Linked DNA regions of Canis lupus familiaris. The protein of the gene in region 1 purifies or fractionates together with the protein of each later gene. This does not show direct contact. Links are inferred from orthologs where the notes say so. Each region holds a gene or a part of one and is shown on either strand. Other genes may lie near its edges.

The links. Proteins that work in one complex are often made in the same cells at the same time.
Region 2: the proteins of RIC8A (region 1) and GNAI3 purify together in Homo sapiens (affinity purification with mass spectrometry; 3 studies listed by BioGRID and IntAct, counting the BioPlex papers as one, with this or other methods). This does not show direct contact. The link is inferred for Canis lupus familiaris from reciprocal best matches to the Homo sapiens genes RIC8A and GNAI3.

The regions. Positions count from the first base shown.
Region 1 is NC_049239.1:25,714,060-25,718,013, forward strand, and holds the start of RIC8A (synembryn-A), read left to right. Parts: upstream 1-1,154; 5' UTR 1,155-1,264; coding exon 1,265-1,348; intron 1,349-1,560; coding exon 1,561-1,608; intron 1,609-1,693; coding exon 1,694-2,281; intron 2,282-2,723; coding exon 2,724-2,815; intron 2,816-3,337; coding exon 3,338-3,488; intron 3,489-3,954.
Region 2 is NC_049227.1:42,768,914-42,772,986, reverse strand, and holds the start of GNAI3 (guanine nucleotide-binding protein G(i) subunit alpha), read left to right. Parts: upstream 1-1,273; 5' UTR 1,274-1,414; coding exon 1,415-1,532; intron 1,533-1,749; exon of another isoform or gene 1,750-1,820; intron 1,821-4,073. UniProt on the Homo sapiens protein: Heterotrimeric guanine nucleotide-binding proteins (G proteins) function as transducers downstream of G protein-coupled receptors (GPCRs) in numerous signaling cascades.

The sequences.
Region 1 (3,954 bases):
CCGTCCCCGGCCCCGCCCCGCCAGCGGCCCAGCCACCGCCTCAGCGGACGTGGCGCAACCGGGGAGGACCGGGACCCCGCCGCTTCCGCTCTGCCCGCCGACTTCCGGCCGACGTCCGGCCGACTTCCGGACTAGGGGGGCGGGCCTTAAGTGCCGAGGACGCGTGACAGACGCCGCCAGCGGCCAATGGCGCGGAGGGCGGGGCCGGGTCCCGCTCCGGGCGTCCCCGCTTTCCCCCGCGGGCCTGGCTGCTGGGGTCGCCGCGGGTCCCCGCCCCAGGCGTTGCCGAGGGGACGCGGTGGAGGCCAGGGCCTGGAAGACGCAAGGGTGACGCACTCCGAAGGGAAGCGAAGCCAGACGGGGGCCGGGAGTGTGGGGGCAGCAGAGGCCGTAGCGGCCGGTGCCTCTTGCCTTGGTCCCGGCGCCGCGGGAACGGAGGCGGCCCACAAAGGCTGGCTGCACGGCGGGCACCGCTGCGACCACACACACGGGAGAGGGAGCTCAGTCCAGGCCACACACCTGGGACGTGGCTGCCGGTGATCCTGACCCTCCCCGCCCTCCCCTGGAGCTCAGGGACATGTTTGCGTCCCCGCCGCGGCCACCGAACGACCTTCCCCCGGATCCCTTCTTATCGTCCGGCCTCAGCAGAAATGCTACTTCCGCACATCCCTTTGCAGCCCACTTTATTCGCCACAGCGCTGAGACCGCTGCCCGTGGCTCCTTGCCCTCACGTGCGAGCTCACGCTCCCAGAGGGCCGGGAACCAGCGGTCGGCGGGTCCCGGGGCCGCAAAGTCCTTCCCACTTCGCTTTTCCCCCGGACTTGCACTGGTGCTAGGCATCTAGGGGGGCGTGCGTGGGAAGGTGAGTGGGTCCCCGTTAGCTTCGGAGGCCGCTCAGCTCCGAGGTCGAAAAATCACCTAGTAGGACCTTTGAAACTCGCGCTCACTCCCCGGCAAAACACTCAAGTCCCAGCCAGCTGATCCAGGTCTCGCCCCCTTAATGAACCTACAGCCCTGGCCCCGCCCCGCGGCGCGCGCTCCCAGTCCCGGCATGCCGCGCGCGCAGCCCTGGCCCCGCCCCGCGCGCTCCCAGTCCCGGCCTGCCCCGCGCGCAGCCCTGGCCCCGCCCCGCCCCGCCCCGCCCCGCGCGCTCCCAGTCCCGGCCTGCCCCGCGCGCCCAGTCGGGGCGGAGCGGCGGAACTCCGCCCGGAGCCGGGAAGCAGCTCCCCTTCCCGCCGGCTCGGCGCGGGATCCCGGAGGCGCCATGGATCCCCGGGTGGTTGCGGATGCCGTGGAAGCGGGCGAGGAGGACGTGATCATGGAGGCTCTGCGCACGTACAACCGGGAGGTGAGCGCGAGCCGTGAACGTGCTTGCACGGAAGAGGTGGGCCGGGCGGGGCTCGCGTGTGCGGACCCGGGCCTGCGGGCTGCGGGCGGCGGGCGGCGGGCGGCGCGCGGCGGAGGGGCCGGGGTCTGCGCGCACCTTGGGGGACGGGGAGAGGCGGGGGGGGTGCGGGCGCCCGCGGCGGCCGAGCCCGCTGAGCCTCCCCGTCTCTGCAGAACTCCCAGAGCTTCACGTTTGACGACGCCCAGCAGGAGGACCGGAAGGTGGGTGCGGACCGAGGGCAGGGGGCGGGGGCGCGTGGCCCCGGGGTAGGGGGCCTGCTGGAGCCGCTCTTCTTCCCGCCCACAGAGGCTGGCGGAGCTGCTGGTCTCGGTCCTGGAGCAGGGCTTGCCACCCCCCCGCCGCGTCACCTGGCTGCAGAGCATCCGCATCCTGTCCAGGGACCGAAGCTGCCTGGACCCTTTCACCAGCCGCCAGAGCCTGCAGGCCCTTGCCTGCTATGCCGGCATCGCCTTGGAGGGGTCTGGCCCGGAGCCTCTGGACATGGACGTTGTCCTCGAGTCCCTGAAGTGCCTGTGCAACCTCGTGCTGAGCAGCCCGGTGGCACAGGTGCTGGCAGCAGAGGCCCGCCTGGTGGTGAGGCTCGCAGAGCGCGTGGGGCTGTATCGCAAGAGTAGCTTTCCACACGACATCCAGTTCTTTGATCTGCGCCTCCTCTTCTTGCTCACGGCACTTCGCACTGACGTTAGGCAGCAGCTGTTTCAGGAATTGCGGGGAGTGCACCTGCTGACTGATGCGCTGGAGCTGACCCTGGGAATGAGCCCTGACGAGAACCCCCCGGAGCTTCTTCCTCCCCAGGAGACCGAGCGGGCCATGGAGATCCTCAAAGTGCTCTTCAATATCACCTTCGACTCCATCAAGAGGGAGGTAGACGAGGTGAGGACTGACTTGAGCCCACAGGTAGGGCTTAACGGTGTGGACACTTGCTGGCTCTGTTTGCCTATAGCGAACTCGTAGGTTCCAGGTATCAGACGGGGAGAGGACGGGAAGAGCTCTCAGCCTATTGGGAGGAGGCAGGGAGCTGTACATCATGTACAGGGGCCTTCAGAGACTGTCTGAGAAAGGCAGAGGGCATACCTGGCACTTGCAGCCTGGTAGGAGGGCTGTTTGGTACATGGAGAGGTCACGAGCAGGACACTAGAGTAGGTTGTGATTTTTATCCCAGGAAGACCTGGTAATGGTCTTGGTTAAGGAAATGCTTTCAAGGCTACGTGGGGGAGGACGAGGGGTTGGGCACACAGTAGAGAAAATGCATAGTCCGTGCATGTGATCCCAGAGTGGGGCCTCCTCTCACAGGAACCCCTTTCTTTTTGGTCAGGAAGATGCGGCCCTTTATCGGCACCTGGGGACCATTCTGCGGCACTGTGTGATGGTCGCTGCTGCTGGAGACCGCACAGAGGAGTTCCACGGGTGAGGGTGGGGCCCGTTCAATGGAAGGGAAGTGTGCTCAGGGGTCTAGACAGTAGTTCTCACCCTGGCTGTCGGCTAGGCTTCCCCCTGGAGAGGCTTCACCTACAGGGGTGGGATTTCCATCAGTGTGTGTCTATGGTAAGGGGCTAGGACAAGAGAAACGAATCCAAGAACGGTATCTGTGTCTGCAGTGGAGTTAGTAGTAACCAACCACGTGGTAGTTAGCGAGTAACTGCTGAGTTCTGTTTCGGCGACTTGTGCCTGGGCAGGTTCTGGCGCTCCAGAGATTGTCCGCGGGGCTTCAACCCAGACGGAGCGTGCCCCCTTTCTTAGGAACTCACCCCACCGACTATGTGGGAACATCTCTAGGGTCAGTCTCACCCTCAGTACCGGCCCCTGGTTCTGGTCATCAAATCCCTAGATGCTAGTTCAAGTCACATGCGGCCTCTTTAGGGGGCAGCAAGGCTTGTACTTATGCTGGGGGGTCGGACCTATCAAGCCCTCCTCCTGATCTGTCCTCAGCCACACAGTGAATCTCCTGGGGAACTTGCCCCTCAAGTGTCTGGACGTCCTCCTTACCCTGGAGCCACACAAAGGCTCCCTGGAGTTCCTGGGAGCGAACATGGATGTGATTCACGTCCTTCTCAGCTTCCTGGAGAAGCGTCTGCACCAGGTGGGCAGAGGGACCTGACCTGTGGGGTCCTCAGTGGCTCTGACTTTCCCAAGCAGCCTTGATCACTGCTTTTTTTACGGTCACACTGGTAAGCAGAGTGTGATTCAGGCCATTTCTCCAGCTGCTTCGTGGTCCAGTTTGGCAGAAAACCAGATTCTACCTCCCTCAGAAACACGTGGCCCCTCTCACACGCACACACTTGAAGGTTTTACCTGTGCTGGTTATCTTGACGGGTTTTCAGAGTCAACAGCGGAGTTTGTGTCTTAGAGCTGTTTGTGGCTGTCTCTAGAATCCTTGCCTGTGCCGTCAGAGCACTAGCATTGCTGTGTGCAGGCAGCCCTCGGGACGAGTGACACTTGTCTCTTGGCATCCCTTGGGGAACCCACCACCACCTCGAGCCAGAGGCTGCCTGGTTCCCATGCCTGCACACAGGACGTTGGCCAGCTAGACCTCCAACCAGCCCCTC
Region 2 (4,073 bases), on another chromosome or scaffold:
TGAAAAAAAATGGGGGTGATATTACCTACCTCCCAGGTTGTTGTGAGGGTTAAGAGATGAGCACGTGGAAGCACCTAGCCATACCTGGCAAATAGGTGCTCCATAAATACTGGATTTTCTTCCCTTTCTTCTTGCCCTCCTCTCCCATAAGTACCGATTACGGGAAAGCCATCATTCTTATTGTAACAGTCATTTGGGAATGAGTAGGAGTCTCTTCAAACTTTGAAGGACTGGCATTACTAAATTATAGGGGATGAAGTTGTTTAAGGTGGCTCTCAAGAAATCCCTCTAATGAATGAATCATCGCCATATAGACCTTTCTGTTTGGATCTTATACGCTAAGGTTGAGATTCTATTAGGGAAATAATTTTTAATCCCAGGCAAAGGTTTGGGGGACCACAAGAGTTCTCATCTCTAGAATGTAGGGTGGAGGGTATTTGTGCAGCTATTTAGCCATCAAGGTAATTCAGAGTCACTTTGAAGGTAGTACTCAGAACTAGGAGTGAAAAGTCGAGGGCTTTCATAGAGGTTTGTTTTCAGGTGACGCAGGAGCTGAAAGACAAATCTACCAGAACTTCCCTTTTTGTGTGGTACTACAACAGGAGATTTCAGCGGGGAGATTGACAGGATGCGCTGGTGTGTTTTGGGGCGTGGGCCTGAGGTTAACTGATTTTGGTAGGAGTCCGAGGCGCCTAACGCAGGATCCTCTCTATCCGCGCCCAACTGGCTCACACTGGAGAGACGTGGCGCGGGCACCGCGCAAGCCGCAGGTAGCAGCACAAGCACCGGATCGTCCAGGAGGGCGGTCCCACCGGGGCAGCGGCGGGCCCCGGGGGGGCGCAGGCGCGGGGGGTAGGGTGCGCGGCGAGCTCCCACCGCGGCCGGGCCGACACAGCTCGACAGGGCACCCTCGGGAGGGCGCTCGGGCTCCCCACAGCCTGGGGCCACAGGGGCTTCCAGGCCGGGGAGAAGCCCTCAGCAGGAACTTCCGTGCGGGGAGCGGACTCTTCCTGGGAACTCCGCCGCCCTCCAAGGCCGGCTGGGACTCAGGAGGGCGCCACGAACTGGGGAAGCCAGTCCCTGGTTCTTCTACATTTATCCAAATAAAGCAGCCGAGAAGGAGAAGAAGCTGTAAGCCTAGCGGCGTCCCCGGGGCTGGCCGACGCCTCGCCCGCCGGGCACCGCACTTCCGCCTTCGATCGCTCCTCCTCGGCCCCAGCGGGAGACGCGGAGCAGTCACCGCCGTGGGGCGTCGCCGGAAGTGTCGTACGCGCCGGATATCCGGTTGCTTCGGGCGCTCAAGGAGCTGACGGAGAGGGCCGCCGCCCAGCAGTAGACGCCGTCTGCGCCCGCCGAGCCGCAGTCTCTGCGGTGTGTGAGTGAGCCCGGCCTCGGTCCCTCTCCCGCCGCCGCCATGGGCTGCACGTTGAGCGCCGAGGACAAGGCGGCGGTGGAGCGGAGCAAGATGATCGACCGCAACTTGCGGGAGGACGGGGAGAAAGCGGCCAAAGAAGTGAAGCTGCTGCTCCTTGGTGAGGGGCTGAGGGCGGGGCTGGCGGAGCCGGCGGGGGGGCGGGAGGCCCCGGCGCTCGGCAGCCCTGAGGGGGGAGGCCCGGCCGGCTGGAAGGACCCCGGAGGGATCTGGGGGCGTGACGGCCGTGGGGCGGGAGGCCCGGCGGGCGCGAGGAAGGGGTGGGGTTTGGGGTTGTAGGAATAAGGCTGCGGGGAGGGCGTGACTCCGTGCTGGAGTCGGCGCTGGGCAGGAGGACGTGGAGGCTGTGTTGGGGACCCGGGAAAGACTCATGAAGGGAGAGCTGATGGTAGGGAAGGCTTTGCAGGGAGTTGGAGCGTGTTGATAGCGAAGAGGACGGGAGAGTGTGGGTGAGGCTCGTGTGATGGCTTAGGAGTTGGAGCGATACCTCGACCGGATGGAGTTGGGATGCGCGAATGAGTAATGTAAACAGGGTCTGAGACTGAGTGGAGGTGTAAGGACTCTCCTTTATTAGCACGTGGGCGTTTTCAACTATTGATAAGGCAGAGGAACCCTGGATTAACCAGGAGTGCGAAGGTGTGTGATTGGGATCCATGACACGTTCTTGGATACAAAGGAGAAGAGCTTGCGTGCACGGGCTGTGTATACTTTTTCACCGCCTTATGTCACTTTTACTCTCTGAAAGTTTTTGTAACTCCTCTTGTCTATATAAAGGGGGAGGTTTTGTGAGCCGAGGAAATTTAAGGACTGGCTGGTTTGAGGTTTGTGGTCAAAGATACAGTGGACAGTAGATTACATATTGGGAGTTGCTGAATAGTTGCTAGGGATGATGTGCAGTGGGAATGGAGTTATCTTAGGATAGATTATGGAATTGGACACACTATAAAAGCTGTGACAAACTTCTGGTGAGCTGTCTCTCCAAACTAAAAATATTGGCTTCAGAAATTACTGTTTTTTTTTTACCCCACATTCTTTATGAGCAGCTTTTAGGTACAGTCAGATGCGTTTTACTCAGCATGATTTTTTTTCAAAGATTTTATGTATTTATTCATGAGAGACACACACACAGAGAGGCAGAGACACAGGCAGAGGGAGAAGCAGGCTCCATTCAGGGAGCCCGACGTGGGACTCGATCCCAGAACCCCGGGATCACCGCCTGGGCCGAAGGCAGACGCTCAACCGGTGAGCCACCTGGGCGTCCCACTCAGCATGATTTTTAAGCATTTTTGAGACCAGTTTCTAGAGGCTCAGTAAGTCATATAAAGTACCCTGGCATCAGCTTACTAATTAGTTGTCACTGTTTCTTTACTATTAGTATTTTCTAAAGTTCTGTTAGAGAAGAATATGTAGGAGTAATAGTTTTTGTAAGCAACAAAGCGCCCCCCCCCCCTTTTTTTCTTTTTTAAAACAATTTTTGGGAAAAACAAGTCACGTTAGGAGAAGTGCCAAATTTTCATGGTGTAAAGCTCCAGAGGACAGAGTACACCACCATAACCCAAGGCTTATTTTGTACTCCGGGTTGTGCTGGGTGCCCATGCTAGTCTCTTCATGTTAGCATATTTAGTGGTTTGTAGATTGCAGAAGCCCTAGGAATAACTCTTTGGATATAGGAAGAAAGTTATGCATTGGAGCTTGAGCTTTTGGTTTGAATATCTAACGTGATATTCATAACACAAGAATTTGAATTGTAGTTCTAGACTGCCACTCTCTGTTTAACAAGTATCATTTGTGGATGAGCATGGTCCATGGCACATAGTAGGTGCTTCTTACATATTTACTAGCATGAACCACCTAATGTTGGACATTGCTCTTGGGGCTCTTTCGGATGCTTAATACAAACCATTATATAATACTCAAGGCATTAATGTCTGTATTGATTGATTGGTTATGAAATTAAAGGTGTATTTTCATTTTCTGTAAATGTTTTGAATTACATTGACCATCAGAGATCTCCTCAGGACATTAGCCTATTGTAGTACAGTTGTAAACTGTGAGGTTTTCTTCCAAATGGCAGGATTTGGCAGGGAGAATTTAGGCAAGCAAATGTCTGGAAAAAAATCTTTATTTGGGATTTTATAAATAGTGCATTTAATTAAAAACAAAATTAAACACATGACTTAGCGAACTTCAAAAACAGTAAGTAAAAATCAAAGTACTAAGACATTTGCTTTTAATTTTTATCAATTTCATTGTTTTAAGTAAGATTTTTTAATATTCTTGAGCAAGTCAACAAATATAAATAGTTGCAAACACAGATGCTCTTGCTTGAACCATATCATAATGCACAGAAGTTAAAGTTACCCCTTATTTTCAGTAAGCAGAACACACTCATCACAATATACAGATAACCTTTTTTTTTGCTATAGAATACGTCCTTTGATGTACATGCAAGTTTTTACTTCATCTCTGTGAACTAACCAACTTGTCTAAGTTGGGATGTATTTGGTTACCTTTGTCTCTCCTGGCACACAATAGGTGTATTGTATTTTCTCTTTTGGAGAGATGCAGTTTAGTATAGTGATTAACAAGGTGGACTATGAAGTCAGAGTGTTTCAAATTCTAATTAAATTAGTTAAGGAGG